Arabidopsis thaliana: one gene and its partners. The protein of the gene in region 4 interacts with the protein of the main gene of each other region in a biochemical or structural test. Each region holds a gene or a part of one and is shown on either strand. Other genes may lie near its edges.

What was found.
Region 1: the proteins of ACR4 (region 4) and WOX5 form a complex in vitro, tested with the Arabidopsis thaliana proteins (one study listed by BioGRID).
Region 2: of the proteins of ACR4 (region 4) and CRR2, one has a biochemical effect on the other in vitro, tested with the Arabidopsis thaliana proteins (one study listed by BioGRID).
Region 3: of the proteins of ACR4 (region 4) and CRR3, one has a biochemical effect on the other in vitro, tested with the Arabidopsis thaliana proteins (one study listed by BioGRID).

What each region holds. Positions count from the first base shown.
Region 1 is NC_003074.8:3,525,550-3,528,997, reverse strand, and holds WOX5 (WUSCHEL related homeobox 5), read right to left. Parts: upstream 1,719-3,448; 5' UTR 1,393-1,718; coding exon 1,089-1,392; intron 980-1,088; coding exon 735-979; 3' UTR 558-734; downstream 1-557. Other genes in the region: MEE34 (Mov34/MPN/PAD-1 family protein), read right to left, coding at 1-9. UniProt on the Arabidopsis thaliana protein: Transcription factor, which may be involved in the specification and maintenance of the stem cells (QC cells) in the root apical meristem (RAM).
Region 2 is NC_003074.8:17,231,140-17,235,830, reverse strand, and holds CRR2 (Tetratricopeptide repeat (TPR)-like superfamily protein), read left to right. Parts: upstream 1-1,785; 5' UTR 1,786-1,882; coding exon 1,883-3,856; 3' UTR 3,857-4,150; downstream 4,151-4,691. Other genes in the region: AT3G46800 (Cysteine/Histidine-rich C1 domain family protein), read left to right, coding at 1-1,337. UniProt on the Arabidopsis thaliana protein: Required for the intergenic processing between chloroplast rsp7 and ndhB transcripts. Necessary for chloroplast NADH dehydrogenase-like (NDH) complex-dependent cyclic electron transport around PSI (CET).
Region 3 is NC_003071.7:264,881-268,482, forward strand, and holds CRR3 (chlororespiratory reduction 3), read left to right. Parts: upstream 1-1,678; 5' UTR 1,679-1,794; coding exon 1,795-2,057; intron 2,058-2,154; coding exon 2,155-2,291; intron 2,292-2,374; coding exon 2,375-2,499; 3' UTR 2,500-2,599; coding exon of another isoform or gene 2,600-2,603; 3' UTR 2,604-3,046; downstream 3,047-3,602. Other genes in the region: AT2G01580 (uncharacterized protein), read right to left, coding at 301-876. UniProt on the Arabidopsis thaliana protein: Probable subunit of the chloroplast NAD(P)H dehydrogenase (NDH) complex of the photosynthetic electron transport chain. Required for both formation and activity of NDH. May function in assembly or stabilization of the NDH complex.
Region 4 is NC_003070.9:25,955,883-25,960,917, forward strand, and holds ACR4 (ACT domain repeat 4), read left to right. Parts: upstream 1-1,684; 5' UTR 1,685-1,960; coding exon 1,961-1,964; exon of another isoform or gene 1,965-2,305; coding exon 2,306-2,378; intron 2,379-2,474; coding exon 2,475-2,520; intron 2,521-2,617; coding exon 2,618-2,732; intron 2,733-2,824; coding exon 2,825-2,892; intron 2,893-2,974; coding exon 2,975-3,577; intron 3,578-3,657; coding exon 3,658-3,762; intron 3,763-3,843; coding exon 3,844-4,197; 3' UTR 4,198-4,519; downstream 4,520-5,035. UniProt on the Arabidopsis thaliana protein: May bind amino acids.

The DNA of each region.
Region 1 (3,448 bases), on a different chromosome or scaffold from region 4:
AACATCCATTGTTGGGTTAATCAAATTCGCTTGAGTAATTCTAAATTTCTTTCTCCGGGAATGATCAAAACCTCAACTTTTGATTCCGTTTTATCTCCGACGGAACTTGAGTTTGCTTCTTCTCCAGGAAAACCCCTTTAATTAATCTTCTCTAGGCACTATGGGTTTAACCAAAGTTTGGGCCTTCTCTGTATTATAAAGCCCAATTATATGGGCCTAAAAGACAATGGGTCTGGGTAAAATAATATTAAGGATATTAATCTGTTCGTTTAAAAGAGTTGGTTTTATTCTGATAAGATTGTGCAAGTTTTTTGGTCTAATGGTTGTTGATCAAGACTTAAGTATTTCGAGATGATGTAAATTTTGTAAATTGATAGAGATAAGTTTTAAGTTTGTTTTTTTAACATCTTTTAAGTTTTAAGTTTATCTGATATTTCTAGTATTTCTGTGATGCAAATAGAACTATTCGTTAATGATGTCTTTCTTAAATTATTTTTAAAAAATATAGAAAAATACATTAACAAATCACAACCTTAGTTATATGATGATATACATATACGCATTCCATAACATAGATTCTTATATCAAACAAAATGAGACAACTTTTTGATAAACCATGCATTGGAAAATATCTCATAAACCATGCATCGGATAATATGTCATAATTCAAAATACAACAACATTTTAAAGGCTAAAGCATCTGTTTTTTTTCTTTTGTTATTGTGGTCAATGACTTAAAGAAAGCTTAATCGAAGATCTAATGGCGGTGGATGTTCCATTTCAGCTCCACATGATGAGTATGGAGAAAACGACGTCGTGGTGGTCTCTCGAATATATTCACGGTACTGGTTATTGCCTCTAGCTCTCATTTTGTCCACCTTGGAGTTGGAGTCTTCAAATGAATTCACCGGAAAGAGTTGTAATGTCTCTATCACCTTCTCTTCCTCTTGACAATCTTCTTCGCTTATTTCAAAAACATCTATAATAACACACTATTATCCATTAAATATATAGAAATATCATATAAAACAATAATGATATATAATTATATATATATATATATATATATATATATATAAAGAGACTACCTCTAGTTGATGGTTGATGATGATGATGATCAAAATCAATGGAGATTTTACGACGTTTCTGCCTCTCCCTAGCCTTATGATTCTGAAACCAATAGAAAACATTCTTGCTCTCTATCTTGCCGTAGAAACTGAGCTCCGTAGAGATCTTCTGAATCTGATCAGTTGTTGGAGTTCTAAGACCGGCTCGAAACAGATCAGTCAATATCTTCAACTGCTCCACCGTTGGATTCCATCTCCCGCACTTCGTCCCCGTTCCTCCGTTATTGTTGCCACGTAAGCTTCGACCTTTCACGGAGAAAGACATGTTCAGATGTAAAGTCCTCAACTGTTTTACGTTTTAGGGCCTGTGTATATATCCATATATATAGTAAGATTGTTCATAATAATTTATTAAGTTTTCATCTTTTCGAAAATAAAAAGAGAAATGAATTGATGAAATGTCGGGAGGAGAGGTTTTCGAGTTATGTGTCGTTTTATGATGAGTTGTTTATTACGAAATGCATGCTTTGTTTTTTTTGGGGATTTGGGAGAGACTGATCTTTGCAGATTTGATCGTTTTCTTTATCCTAACCTATCTAGGCTTCTGTTCCATCTATATTTACATATGTTTTTGTGTGTATATATTAGTATATAATTGGATCTCGCATTCATGCCATGGCATGCATAAGTTGTATATCGGAACCAGCGATTGAAACATTGAATTTGTTCTCCTTTAATTTGTGGTGACTCGCACACACTTAAATTGCGTTCTACGTAATTTCTTACTATTCATATAACATGATAAGAATAATCAGAAAGCCTTGGTGGTAATGTACTATCTAGTGTCAATATTTTAACGTTCGATATTGTAACTTCAATGCTTCAACTATTCCAAATTATGACACTAGAAATTTTACATTCACTTTCTTTTTTTTGTATTTGTTTTGAAGTTAGAAGTTCTTTACAAATTGTAGATCTAATCTGTAATCAATAATAAGTTGAAATAGCTAGCAAGTCCTAAACAAAGATTGTATGCAATTACATTATTGAGACGGATGGATGGCCGATATTAGTTTGATATGAATGAAGATGATAAGATTAATTATAAACATCATGACATTGTGTGAACAGATTGTAGTTTTGTCTCTCTTGCACAGAAGATGTGACACTTGAGGAACGTTGGTCGGCAAGTGTAGACAGGAAATTTGAAATTTTATTCTCTTTTATAAGAAAATATAATATTACAAAATCAAATATCTGAATTCTGAATCATAAAAAACTACAAAAAGAAAAGGCATTTAATAGATAGAACCAGAAGGTTCGCCACACACATGTATAATATAAGTCCTACACCAAAATATTTGTAAAAAGCCATTTATTAAGTCACCAAGAACTCCTTCTAGAATGAAGAATGGTTGAAAGATGACTGCAAGATGTAAAAATAATTTTAACCATCAATAAAAGTATAAACTCATAGTGTTTTACTAGCCTCTATATGCTATCACGTCAATTAGATCTGATTTTTGAAATCTGAAAATGAGACAGCAGCAATAGTAACATAAATCATGCATTATACTGTAAATGCTTTGGTCAAAAATTTATTTCTTAGTTAAAATCTAACTGCATTCTAGTATATAACCTGCGACCGAAAAAATATTTCACTTTTAAGCGTACAACTCATACATGCCTCAGTTTTAACAATATACAATCCAGCTCTTATAATTTTGCATAGTCTAGTTGTTTGTACAAGAAACTTATTGATGTCTATATGAACAGTACGTATGACACCAGCAGAAATAGAAAGGAAAAACTTATAATATTCATGTAGTGTGCGTTAAAATGTCTTAATAGTGAGGATTTAGATGAGACATGCACGGGATGCTAAGCAAGACGAAAATGGTCCAAATAATAAAATGACAATGTGAATAAAACCAAACATTGTTTTTATAAACAAAGTACTCTTCACTAGACAACATAACAGTACTTACAAATATCTTTGTCTCTCTCGCATATAAACTGCATCTTGTTTTTAAAATTGATCAATTCGGTGTCAAAGTCAAAGTTCACGTGGCTTATGTTACTTGGAATCATCCCAGTTAATTTACATAACATCTTTGTTTAATTACAAATTTCTTACAGAATATCTCATTACCTACTCTCGAGTCTAACTAAATAAGTAGATTTTTGGATTTAATTCGGTTTAGAGAAACTTTATGACTTAGATTTGTTAGATATATAGAAAAAAGTGGCATGCACCCAGCACCCAATTAGTCATCAATTACTGGTACTGGATGATAAAACAGTTGTGAGTTGTACATTAAAAAGTTAAAGATAGCATGTCGTGGATTTGAGATATCAAAACTCTCGTATTGGATGCCCCC
Region 2 (4,691 bases), on a different chromosome or scaffold from region 4:
CCATTTGCAAGGATTACTGTATGGCGAAACCACCGCCAGTTTCTGTTGTGAGTCCTACGACCCATGAGCATCAACTCCACCTTGTTCCAAGACTAGTCAATTTTACTTGCAACGCTTGTGGGACGGCTGGTGATCGAAGTCCTTATTTTTGTCTTCAATGCAATTTCATGATCCATCGAGCTTGTATTGATTTACCCCGCGTGATAAATATCAATCGTCATAATCATCGCATCTCTTACACTAGTCTTCTTGGACACGGGAATTGGACATGTGGAGTTTGTCGTAAGAAAGTAGATGGGTTTTATGGGGCTTATTCTTGCTCGAAATGTCCTAGCTATGCTGTTCATGCAAGATGCGCGACGAGAAAGGATGTATGGTACAAAGTTGAACTAGAAGGAACACCGGAAGAGGAGGAAATTGCGCCATTCGAGGTGGTCGATGAGAATCTGATCAAGCACTTCATCCATGGCCATAATTTAAGACTCAACAAGGATGGTAACCACGAAAGCAAATTTTGTGAAGCATGTGCCTCCAAAATCAATAACGATCCGTTTTATGGTTGTGAGCAATGCGACTTTATTCTACATGAAACATGTGCTAGTCTGCCTAGAAAGATAAGGCATGTATCCAACAATAAACCTTTAATTCTATCGACAGATACATATTTGAAAGATTCTCCACGCCAAAGAAGACATTGTTCTGCTTGTTTCCAGAATTTCAGCGGTTTTAGGTACGAAACTCAGTCTCGTAATTTGTTTGGTTCCGCTACTCTAGATGTTCGTTGTAGTTCGATATATGAACCATTTCTCCATGAAAGCCATCCACATCCTTTATACTTCAGTCTTGAGGGGGATACAAAATGTTCTGCATGTGACATCACATATAGCGCCAGGGATATGTTGTGTTGTGATGAGTGTGAATTTCGGTTGGACTTCCGCTGCGCTACTTTACCTAGAAAGGTAATGAATCAGAGGTACGACGATCATCCTCTCTACTTGTCTTACGGTGAAAATAAGGAAGATGGTCAACTTTGGTGTGAGGTATGTGAAACAAAAGTAGATCCAAAGGAATGGTTGTATACATGTAATCTATGTGGAATCATTTTGCACATATCGTGTGTCGTGGGAGACTTCTCATATCACGTACCAGGACACATTTCATCGAACAAAATCGCAAATGGAGTAGTGGTACCCAACACTTCTATTTGTAGACCCCATTGTTCTAGGTGTTCTTCAAGATGCAAGCTTCCTTATATACTTCAAATCAACGACTTTTACTTTTGTTCTAATAAGTGTTGTGGGAATACTCGCAACCCTAGGGGTCGTAATTACTACTAAACAATAGTAGTGTATCATGATACTAATAATGTACTGTTTCTATCGTTATTTTTCTTTTAAGCCAACCTCCATGAATGAAATTATGTTTTACATGAATTATATATTATATATGTTTTTAAAAATACTCTTGTATTTGATTTGATTGCATATAAATTATTTCCTCGTGAATCACCAAGGGATATAGAATCAAATAATTGTTAAATTAGCGTTACATTGGGTGATTGGAAATGGATCTCGCCAGAATACTGGTGGCCCGCAGGTGGCCGCCGTGGAAGAAAATTATTCCCGGCGCAAAAGATGCCTCGTAAACTTAGATCAGCCCAATTCAAAACTAACCAAATATGGGCCTAATTCAAGAAGGCCCATTTCTAACCACGTGATTGGCACGTGTAAACCAACCAACGGAAGTAGCAGAGAAAACTAGTGGCATCGGCAAGTAAAAAGCCCCTCTCTTTATTATCGTCGATCCAAAAAGCAGATTTGATAGAAAAGCCGCGAATTTTTATGTTTTTCTTTGGGAATTTTCCGGTAAACTCATCGGAAAAATGTTTCTGTCTCACCCTCCTCAAGTAATACAACCAACTTATCATACAGTTAACTTCTTACCTCGCTCTCCTCTGAAGCCACCGTCGTGTTCCGTTGCTTTAAACAATCCTTCAATTTCCTCCGGCGCCGGAGCTAAAATCTCTAATAATCAGCTAATTCAATCATTGTGCAAAGAGGGTAAACTTAAACAAGCGATTCGCGTCTTGTCTCAGGAATCTAGCCCAAGTCAACAGACTTACGAGCTTCTGATTCTCTGCTGCGGTCATCGGAGCTCTCTTTCTGATGCTCTACGTGTTCATCGACATATTCTGGATAATGGGTCTGATCAAGATCCTTTTTTGGCTACGAAGCTTATTGGTATGTACTCGGATTTGGGTTCTGTGGATTATGCACGGAAGGTGTTCGATAAAACGCGTAAGAGAACTATATATGTCTGGAACGCTTTGTTTCGAGCCCTTACGTTAGCAGGTCATGGAGAAGAAGTGTTGGGTTTGTATTGGAAGATGAATAGGATTGGAGTTGAGTCAGATAGGTTCACATACACTTATGTTCTCAAGGCTTGTGTTGCATCGGAATGCACGGTGAATCATCTGATGAAAGGGAAAGAGATTCATGCACATCTTACTCGACGAGGTTACAGTTCTCATGTTTACATTATGACTACGTTGGTGGACATGTATGCTAGATTTGGCTGTGTGGATTATGCCAGCTATGTGTTTGGGGGAATGCCGGTGAGGAACGTTGTTTCTTGGAGCGCTATGATCGCCTGCTATGCAAAGAACGGGAAAGCTTTTGAAGCTCTGAGGACTTTCCGTGAAATGATGAGAGAAACCAAAGATTCATCTCCGAATTCTGTGACTATGGTTAGTGTGCTTCAAGCTTGTGCTTCGCTTGCGGCTTTAGAGCAAGGGAAATTGATTCATGGGTACATACTCAGACGGGGGCTTGACTCCATATTGCCAGTGATCAGTGCTCTTGTGACGATGTATGGTAGATGCGGTAAGCTTGAAGTGGGACAAAGAGTATTTGATCGAATGCATGACCGGGATGTTGTGTCCTGGAATTCCTTGATATCAAGCTATGGCGTTCACGGGTATGGAAAAAAAGCAATTCAGATATTTGAAGAGATGCTCGCCAACGGGGCTTCCCCAACTCCCGTAACATTTGTCAGCGTTTTGGGAGCTTGCAGCCACGAGGGTCTTGTTGAAGAAGGAAAGAGACTGTTTGAAACAATGTGGAGAGACCATGGGATAAAACCACAAATCGAACATTATGCTTGTATGGTTGATCTGTTAGGTCGGGCGAATAGGTTAGACGAGGCAGCAAAGATGGTACAAGACATGAGGACTGAACCAGGGCCTAAGGTTTGGGGTTCCCTTCTTGGTTCTTGTAGAATTCACGGTAATGTTGAGCTTGCAGAGCGGGCGAGTAGAAGGCTCTTTGCGCTTGAACCAAAAAATGCAGGGAACTATGTGTTGTTGGCAGACATTTACGCGGAAGCTCAGATGTGGGATGAGGTTAAGAGAGTGAAGAAGCTTCTAGAACACAGGGGACTGCAGAAGCTGCCTGGTCGATGCTGGATGGAAGTGAGGAGGAAAATGTACTCGTTTGTCTCGGTTGATGAGTTTAACCCTCTTATGGAACAGATTCATGCTTTCTTGGTTAAGTTAGCCGAAGATATGAAGGAGAAAGGGTACATACCACAGACCAAAGGAGTTCTGTATGAGCTTGAAACAGAAGAAAAAGAGAGGATAGTGTTGGGACACAGTGAGAAACTTGCGTTGGCGTTTGGGCTGATAAATACATCGAAAGGAGAACCAATCAGAATCACGAAGAACTTGCGTTTGTGCGAGGACTGTCACTTGTTTACAAAGTTCATCTCGAAGTTTATGGAGAAAGAGATTCTAGTCAGAGATGTGAACCGGTTTCATCGATTCAAGAATGGAGTGTGTTCTTGTGGAGATTACTGGTAATGCATATGGGGACTTATACATTTGCTTGTGTGTATAATAAGCAAAGGAGAGATCTCGACTTGAGTTCTTGGACTTAGGTCAAAGAAATAACAAACAAGTTAGGCTTAGAAATTTCCTGTTATATATGCCAACGAAATCTGTTGGGTTCATTGTTACTATCATATTGTTCTTCAATAAACAAAAAAAAAGTATCTCACTTTCATTGTGCCCTCAAATTCGAAAAAGAAATTGTCTTCTTTTTTTTTGGAAAGAAAAAAAATGGAAACAAACGAATTGACATTAATTAGTTTAAACATGCAATATAAAAGAAAACACAAGAGTCTAAAAACACAAACACAAGAAAGAAAACACAAGAGTAGTCAGTTTCTGCACACGAACACAAGAAAGAGATATTAAAGATGCCAACGGCTGCGATCTTAATTCTGGCGTATTCTGCATTTGTTTGGGTTTTGATAAGCTATTGTAGCAGCCGGAACAATAATGTTTCGAAGAAGATTGCTACCAGACCAAGCGGCATAGGATTAGGAACTGGAACGATTTTCTTCATAATCTTAGCCCTAATGGCTATGATGTTCTTAAACAACAACGCTGGACGAATTCAACACGGTATCAATGAACAAGCTGATGGGATTTAGATTCTTGTAATCATCTTTTTCTTTCTCTTCATGCTTTATCTCAAAGGCGGTTTTTGATTTCTTTGTTTTAGTTTGGATTATGTATTTTAGGGATTAATAAAATATACATTCGGATGTGATCTTCTTCAAACTTGTATTAAGAATTTAATTGAGGTGAATCAAATTAAAAACTTGTGTTATATCAAGGGATTTAAAGAGAG
Region 3 (3,602 bases), on a different chromosome or scaffold from region 4:
AAAGCCCAAAGGGTCTCGAGAGAGCTTCAAGGAAACACTTTGCAACGATTACCTAATTTCCAAAGATTACCTGATACCTTTGGTATGATCTTTTAGTCTCTACTGATGACCTAATTATCGAGTAGACATATTATATAATTGGTTTTGCAAGAGAATGGCCTAGTTTCGCAGACTTTTACATTCTCGGTAACAATCTTATCAACCGATACATATATGTTTGCATTATGTTTTTAAACATTATCGAGTAGACATATTATATATCGCTTATTTCACAACTATTTGTTACTCTACAACTATCAATCATTTCCTGAAAGAGTAGAACACTGTGAAGATATAAACACTGAGAGCAGAAGAGACCAATACCACAAGCACCAGCACGGTATGAATCGCCAAAGCATTGCCGCAAGAGAGAAGCCCCAGACGGAGTTGTATAACATCAACAATTGACAACAGAAGAAATACACAACCCAAGATAGATCCACCAGCTGCACCAACCACACCGAAACGAAGCACATCTCTGTTGATATTCGCTTTAAACACTTCGTCCGTTTCTTTGCTGTTCAAAAGGTTGATGGCTAGCTTCATCCCTTGAGCCACAAGGGAGGAGAAGAGAAAGAAGGCAAATGAGATGACTTCAAACACAACCAGGTCACGTTCCACGTCTCGTCCTGCACTGCACTCTGTTCTGTCCGTGAGGGTGAGGTCACTTGGCTGGTCGAAGGAGATTCCGACAAAGACTGCAACCGTGAAGAGAGAATTAGCACTTACAATCCCATCGAGAGCCGTAACATGAACACTCGTGGTTGAAGTAGTTGAATGGCTGGTGTTGCTATTGCTATTTTGGTTGCTGCTCGTCTCTATGTCGGAATCTGCCATTACCAATGAATGGATCTCTCTTTCTTTCTTTTTTGGGATAGCTAAAAGCTTCTTTCTAATGGTGGATCATAATCTTCTGTTGTGTTCTTATGATTCCCTTTTGAATATGATTTGGTAATGTTGTTTAAGAGTGGGTGGTGTTTGGTTTAGAACGATTAGCCTTTTGGAAAACGATAGCTCTATGTTAATTGATAATTTAATCTTTTTCAAGTCTTGGAAGGTACACACACCTTTCTCCTTTTGTTATGAAAGAAAATGGTTTCTTCTAGTAACCAAAATTTTGAACTTTATTCACATGTAAAACAACACAATCTTGTAGCAAATTTACACGTTAAATTTAAAACGGTGTTGCGTATTTGAAGAGACAATATCCTAAACGTTATCATATTAATATTATTTTTGTTATTTTTCCGTCAAACACCATTTTTATTAAGTTATCGAAAAGATACTATCCGTTAGAGAAAACTATTAAGGAACCGACGTGCTTACATGAGAGAAAATAACATTTTCAGTTTTAACTTTTTTGGCTAAAAGGTCTACTCGAGTGTTAAATTTTTGAGAAAAAAATCTAATACGAAAAAAAGAAAAATAAACAATAAAACACCGAAAAAGAGGCGAATTCCGCTGCAAAAGTTGGCTAATCTTTTTGGTTATCCAGAAGAGATATCAAATCGGAGCATAGTACTATTATTAACTTTGTTTTAACCTAAGCGATGTGGGATAAAAATCCTCTTAACAAAGACAAACAATCAATGACGTCATCAATCCAAAAATTGGCATGTCCTCAAGATTAAAAAGACAGTCTTAGCTGACGTGGCCTGTTCTCAAGTTTTAATTGGCTGGAGAATTCAAGAGGATGAAACATAGAAATCCTCTTTGACTAAAATATTTTAAACCACACAAGAGAAGGAGGAGGCAATGGCGGTGTTATCCACCATCTACTCCATCACCAGAGCTTCAACGCCTACTATGGCGTCTCTAACTAATGACTCACCGTCTCCACTTCCTTCTTCTTCACCGTCGAAGCTTCCCTCTCCTACTTCTCCGTCAAAGAAACCGTTAAAACTAAGACAAGTGAGCAAACAAATGGGAAGTCAAAACCAGCAACGACGAGGCAACAAGCCTTCGATAGCACAGATTGAGAGAGCTTTTGGCTCTGGATCATATCGTGATTCCGAAGGGTAATTAAAGACACTAATTACATTTTCAAAATGTGTACTTATATACAGTATCGTATATGCGCGGTTTTGATATTTGTTTTTTTTTGTCTCGTGAAAGGGAAATGGATATGAATACGGTATTCGATGAGCTTCTATTAGGCCATGCTAATAAATTCGAAAGTAAGATCGAGAAGAAGCTACGGGAGATTGGCGAAATCTTTGTAGCTCGAACAGAGCCTAAGCTTCGTTCCTCGGGTTAGTTTAGTGATTATAATCTCATACTAATCATATTCCATAGTTGCGTTGGCTTAGACACATCTACTTCATTGATATTGCAGGGAAACCAGTTTTGATGTTTACAATTCAATGGATTCTTCCAATATGGATTATGTCACTGCTCGTAGCTTGTGGAGTTATCAAACTCCCTTTTAGCATCCCTTTCCTTGATGACTTGATCATGTGATTCTTCTACACAGTTAATACACATGTACTCTTACCATATTTCGTTAATAATACTTTTAGTGTATTAGTGTAATACCATACCTCAAACAAACTCATCACAGATAAGTCTCTAGGGAAAGAATGCTTGTTATTGGTGAGATATACTTTTCAGCTCACGGTGCACTCGATATGGAAGGAACGGAATGGTCGTCGACATGGAGAAGTACCTATTCATATCTCCCAGTTAACTCGCGAACTCGACAAGCAAACCCGAAACAGAATCTTTTCTATTCGAGAGCTAGGTGATAGAAGATATGAAGATTCTATGGCAATCTGGTTTGGTTCAAAATAATCTAGACATCTTCTTAATTCTTGCTCAAACACAAGCTGCACTTGATGTAAAACAGTTTTTTTTTTCCGAATGATTTTACATAATATTCCAAAAAAAAAGTAATATACCATACCTTACCTATATAAAAATCAGTGGCCAATTTACGTAGTTAGTGTTAGGTGGCCAAACAATTCTGAATTCTCACTCTCAACATCTGTATTTTTTTTAATATCTAAAAGTTCAAATCTACATTTTCTAGAGGCGAGATCCACACATAAAGATTCCTCCCGACGGGCGTCGAACCTAATACTTCCACCTCTAAAATTTATCATTGGACCAACACAAAGTTGGTTCAAAATCTATATTATCCACAACATTTTAAAATTCTTTGCTTAGTAAAGTAGAGAAGAAATAATCGTCATCTTTATTTAAAATTGATGACTGTAGTATAAGCAATTAAGCATCTCTTGACTACATTATTGAAATATACTCCCTAATATACACATGGCTTTGTGATTTTATTATAGAAAAAAGTGCTCTATAATAGATGATAATCCAGAGGAGCATATTCGATTCTAATTAGGTCCATTACTGTCAGATTTTCCAGAGATATATATCATTACCGTTTATGCTTTTGCGTGACCTTTAATTATGAATCACATTGAGTAAAATAAAACATTATTATTATGAATCCGATTTCTCTTTGATCAATTATTATTCAAATTCTACCTTGTCTAAATTATTATTATTTTCGTTAGTCAAATAAAAGTAATTTTATAAACGGACAGATATTA
Region 4 (5,035 bases):
TTGAATGAATGATCATACATATATATATTTGTTAAAATACTACTATTTAACACATTAAAAATGACATCCTGGAAAAAATTATATTAAATTTGAAATCTCTACATATTTTTGTGAAATATTTTGAAAATCATGCCAATATATATATGATTATATTCATTCAGTCATGGTGGATCATCATTTTGTACACCAAAACACATTCCCCATTTTCTTAAAAGAAAACTTCTATATATATATATATATATATATACAAATACTACTATTAGATGTGAATATGTAGAAATATTTGAGTCCCATGCGAACTTTACGTAAATATGTTGGGAAACGATTATATATATATAACTCACTTTTCTTATAGAAATAGATAGAACACAAATAGTGTGTGTAAAACTCACACATAATTAAATTCCATAGTGTTTTCGGTTGTTGAAAAACATGGAAAATGCCGAGGAGGTCTCGAATCTGATGTATTTATTTATCAATAATTTGGTAATGTGAAATAATAAACCAAAAAAAATAAAAACAAATCTTTAATGTTGGGAAAGAGATGTGAATGAAGGTACGGTCAATATATAGACAATGGTACGTAAAGCGAAGAGTACATTGCCACCCTGTAAACTCTGTATGCTCTATGTTTTCACGCTATTGATTTTCGCTTTTCCTCTGTCTCTCAACATTTATGTGTTCCATCGGTTAATTCTTGAATCTCGATTGTATTTAATTCCGACAGAATCTTAAAAACAAAACTATTTGATCGTAACACCATTTACGTTTTTCTTCTTCTTTCTTTATTAACAACATGTAATATAACGAGGATTTAAAATCAATGTTAGTGTGTGACTCAACAAATATCTTGGTCCATCAGTTACGTTTTTTTAATTACTCGATTTAATTGGATCATTTAAAGTAATCATCAACGTTTAACAAAAACACAAAATATGGTCCATTTAATACTATTGTATATTTTTGGCTTCTTTTCTCGGTCTCTTGTAAATTCTAATATAAGGAAAACAAACGTTGGACAATAATTTTGATACGGTACAATTATTCCATATGGTCGCTCTTTAAAAACACCCATTTGCAGTTATCTTTTTTCCTGATTTGAAATGGAAATAGACATATATAATATATATATATATATTCCTTTTGGAGCAAAAGTTAGGAAATAAATATATATTCTTCAGAGATTTTATGGCACATTGTATATATCTTAATAATATTCCATAGAATCAATACGGGTCATGAATCTCTCTTCACGATGGAATATATATGATTTATTAAGATGGAATCATGGAATCATATCATTTCTTTTTCACACTAATAAGGAAATTATCATATATATCAGAATCTCTACATTACACGATCCAATCTCAAAAGAATAATATATAATCGGCTTAAAATTCGAAACAGTAATTAAAAAATTTTCACATCTTCTACTCCGAGAAATTTGGGTTACAGATTAGAAGAGACCTTGTCATAATTACTACCCAGTAATTTTATTTAATTACCATCACGTGGTTAAACAAAGATATGTAGCATGCTAACTTATCCGCGCATTTTAGCTATTTTCCACTTAAAACATACTACTGTTTACTAACATACGCTGAGAGTTACAGTTCACACATCTTTTCTCTTCCTTCTTCTTCACTGTATATTAAGAACAATAAGCAATATCAGTTTTTTTTTTCCTCTGATCGAAGCCGCGGGAAAGTTATAATAATATAAAGATATTTTTCGTGAGAGTTGCTCGTTTATGGGAGAATCGTGTCAGATTAATTTCTATTTTTGTTGGTTTAATTTTCCATTTTTAATTTAATAATTTTAAGGAAATATTATTAGAGTGAAAGGAAAAAAAAAAAGATCTTGTGGGTCGCCATTATATATGCAGGTCTTTCTCCAACCTTTTGCTCCTTCTCTCTCAAGTGTCAAGAATCAAACAGTGGCTTAAACCCAAAAAAGGAACATGGGTATGTCTCTTTTTTCTTTCTTTCTTTTTTCTCATTGTTGATTCTTCTTCATACGATTTTTGGGTAAGATATTTCATTATTGGTTATGGGGTTTTCAGTATTTGGTAGTTGCAGGTTAAAGTTTTTGTTTTTCTTCTTCTTCTTGTGGTTTTTTTCTCTGTTAAGCTCTTTTAGAAATTTACCTAGGATTTGATGTCAGTGGTATCTCTCTGTTTATTGGTATTTACAAGAATACAGAGAGAAAGAAGAGATTATTATTCATGGGTTTTGTTCTGATTTTTGAAAGTTTCTGTCTTTGAAACTCACTGATTTTTTTATATTTGGGAATTTTTTGATTGCAGATGTTAGTATGAGTTTTTCACAAGATATGGATAATGAGTATGAGAAGCTGATAAGAAGAATGAATCCACCAAGGTATTAACTTTTTTCTTTCTCCTTCCTTTTTGTTATTATAACTACTTTTAATAGTGTGATATGATTTTGGATAAAAACCTCTGTTTTATTTTCCAGGGTTGTGATTGATAATGACTCTTGCAAGAAGGCAACTGTGATAAGGGTACACTTATAATTTTGGTTTATGTCTATATATCTTGTTTATTCATTTATGTAGACTTGTCCTGAATTTTTTGTTTTGTCTTCTTGATGTTGTTTAGGTGGATAGTGCAAATGAATATGGGATTCTTCTTGAAGTTGTACAAATCCTTACTGATCTTAACCTTACTATCACTAAGGCGTACATATCTTCTGATGGTGGTTGGTTTATGGATGGTATGTTCCGATTGTTAAATTTTCTTTTTTTTTGGATTCTCTTTACTTTAGAACAAGGGATTGATTCTCTTATTCTCTCTGCTACTTGGCAGTATTTAATGTCACTGATCAAGATGGTAACAAAGTCACTGATGAAGTTGTTCTAGACTATATCCAAAAGGTGAGTGTTTTTTTGTTAAACTTGTTATCTTCTTCTTATGTGTGAGTGAGAGTTTAATGAGTGTGTTGTGTTTAATTCTCAGTCTCTTGGGCCTGAAGCTTGTTTCTCCACTTCCATGAGATCAGTTGGTGTCATACCATCAACAGACAGCACGGTTATTGAGTTAACTGGATGTGACAGACCAGGTCTGCTGTCTGAACTGTCAGCTGTTTTGACCCATCTCAAATGCAGTGTCCTCAACGCTGAGATTTGGACACACAACACCAGAGCAGCTGCTGTGATGCAGGTCACAGATGACTTAACCGGGTGTGGCATTTCTGATCCAGAGAGGTTGTCTCGGATCAAGAACCTTCTCAGAAATGTGCTTAAGGGAAGCAACACACCAAGGGAAGCTAAAACCGTAGTGTCTCATGGGGAGGTCCACACGGATAGGAGGCTTCATCAGATGATGTTTGAGGATAGAGACTATGAACACCGTTTGGTGGATGATGATTCCTCTATCCAAGATGAAAGGCAAAGACCAGATGTTTGTGTTGATAATTGGCTCGATAAGGATTACTCTGTGGTCACAGTTAGATGTAAAGACAGACCAAAGCTTCTGTTCGACACAGTCTGCACTTTGACTGATATGCAGTATGTGGTTTTCCATGGAAGTGTTGATACTGAGGGCACCGAGGCGTTTCAGGTAAAGAAATATCCCATTACCATAGAGCAGAGAGTTTCCTTGAATCCATTTACTTATCGGTCTTTGTCTTTGCTTTGCAGGAGTATTATGTGAGACATATAGATGGATCCCCTGTGAAATCAGAGGCAGAGAAGCAAAGAGTCATACAATGTCTTGAAGCAGCTATCAAAAGAAGAGTATCTGAGGTAAATGATCCAGTAATATATAGTGTCTGGTATATACTCTTTCTGTAACTGTCACTGAGAGATCATTGTTTGATGTTTTAGGGATTGAAGTTGGAACTGTGCACGACGGATAGAGTAGGCTTATTGTCAAACGTGACTCGCATATTCCGTGAAAACAGCCTAACGGTCACAAGAGCTGAAGTGAAAACCAAAGGAGGCAAAGCTCTAAACACATTCTATGTCAGTGATGCATCTGGTTACTCAATCGATGCTAAGACCATAGATTCCATAAGACAAACCATAGGCCAAACTATTCTCAAAGTCAAGAACAACCCTCAAGAACAACAACAAAGACAGAAATCGCCTTCTCACGAATCACCGACAAGATTTCTCTTTGGGGGTCTCTTCAAGTCGAAATCTTTTGTCAACTTTGGCTTGGTCCGTTCCTACTCTTGAAGAACAACTTCACTTAGCTGTGAGGTTTCAATCTCATCTAGGTTTTAACTGCTTTAAACTTGAGAAGAATCTGTAAATCTATCGCCAGATATAATCTTAAATTCTTGGTCTAGGATCCAACTTTGGGTAGGGAAAAAAAGACAAAAGAGTTTTAGTTGATGTCATGACTAAGTGTTAAGTGTTAACCTACTCTTCTTGTATATATATCAAATCCTCATTATCTTCTTCTTCAGATTATTATGTCAAATTAAAATTTCCATGACTTGAAACAAAATAACTACAAAAGACATAATTATACTTCATAATTTAGTGATTTATGGGAAGAAATATGATTGAATGATTCCAAACAAACCTCCTAAATTTACACCAAAAAATTATTGGCTTATGATATCGAAAGAAAGACTCTAGCAAATTAAGAGACACCATTTCAAAGATTTTTTTTTGTGAATGAATGTAAAATTAATTCAACCAAAAAAATGTTTTCCATTAAATGTAACTTTTTCTAAAATCTTAAGCTGAAAATAATAGATATAGAGTCTTTAAGAATTTTCTTGAGCCAAACCAAATACATAGCCCAAGTGGAGAATGGATGAACATTACACATAATTGCAACAGATTTTTCATAGTAAATTTGTATAAAGAAATATAATCTATAGCATGTAACAAAAATGAACATGTGAGGGGGGGTGTAGATATTGTCACCACCGAACACTTTATGGGGCGTGAATACTGAAACTATGTCGATGACAATGTGTGTATGATAGATTCTCGAGTCACATGTTGAGACCAACAAAGTGATACACCTCCCCACCACCACACACCGCCCATTTAGTTTTCC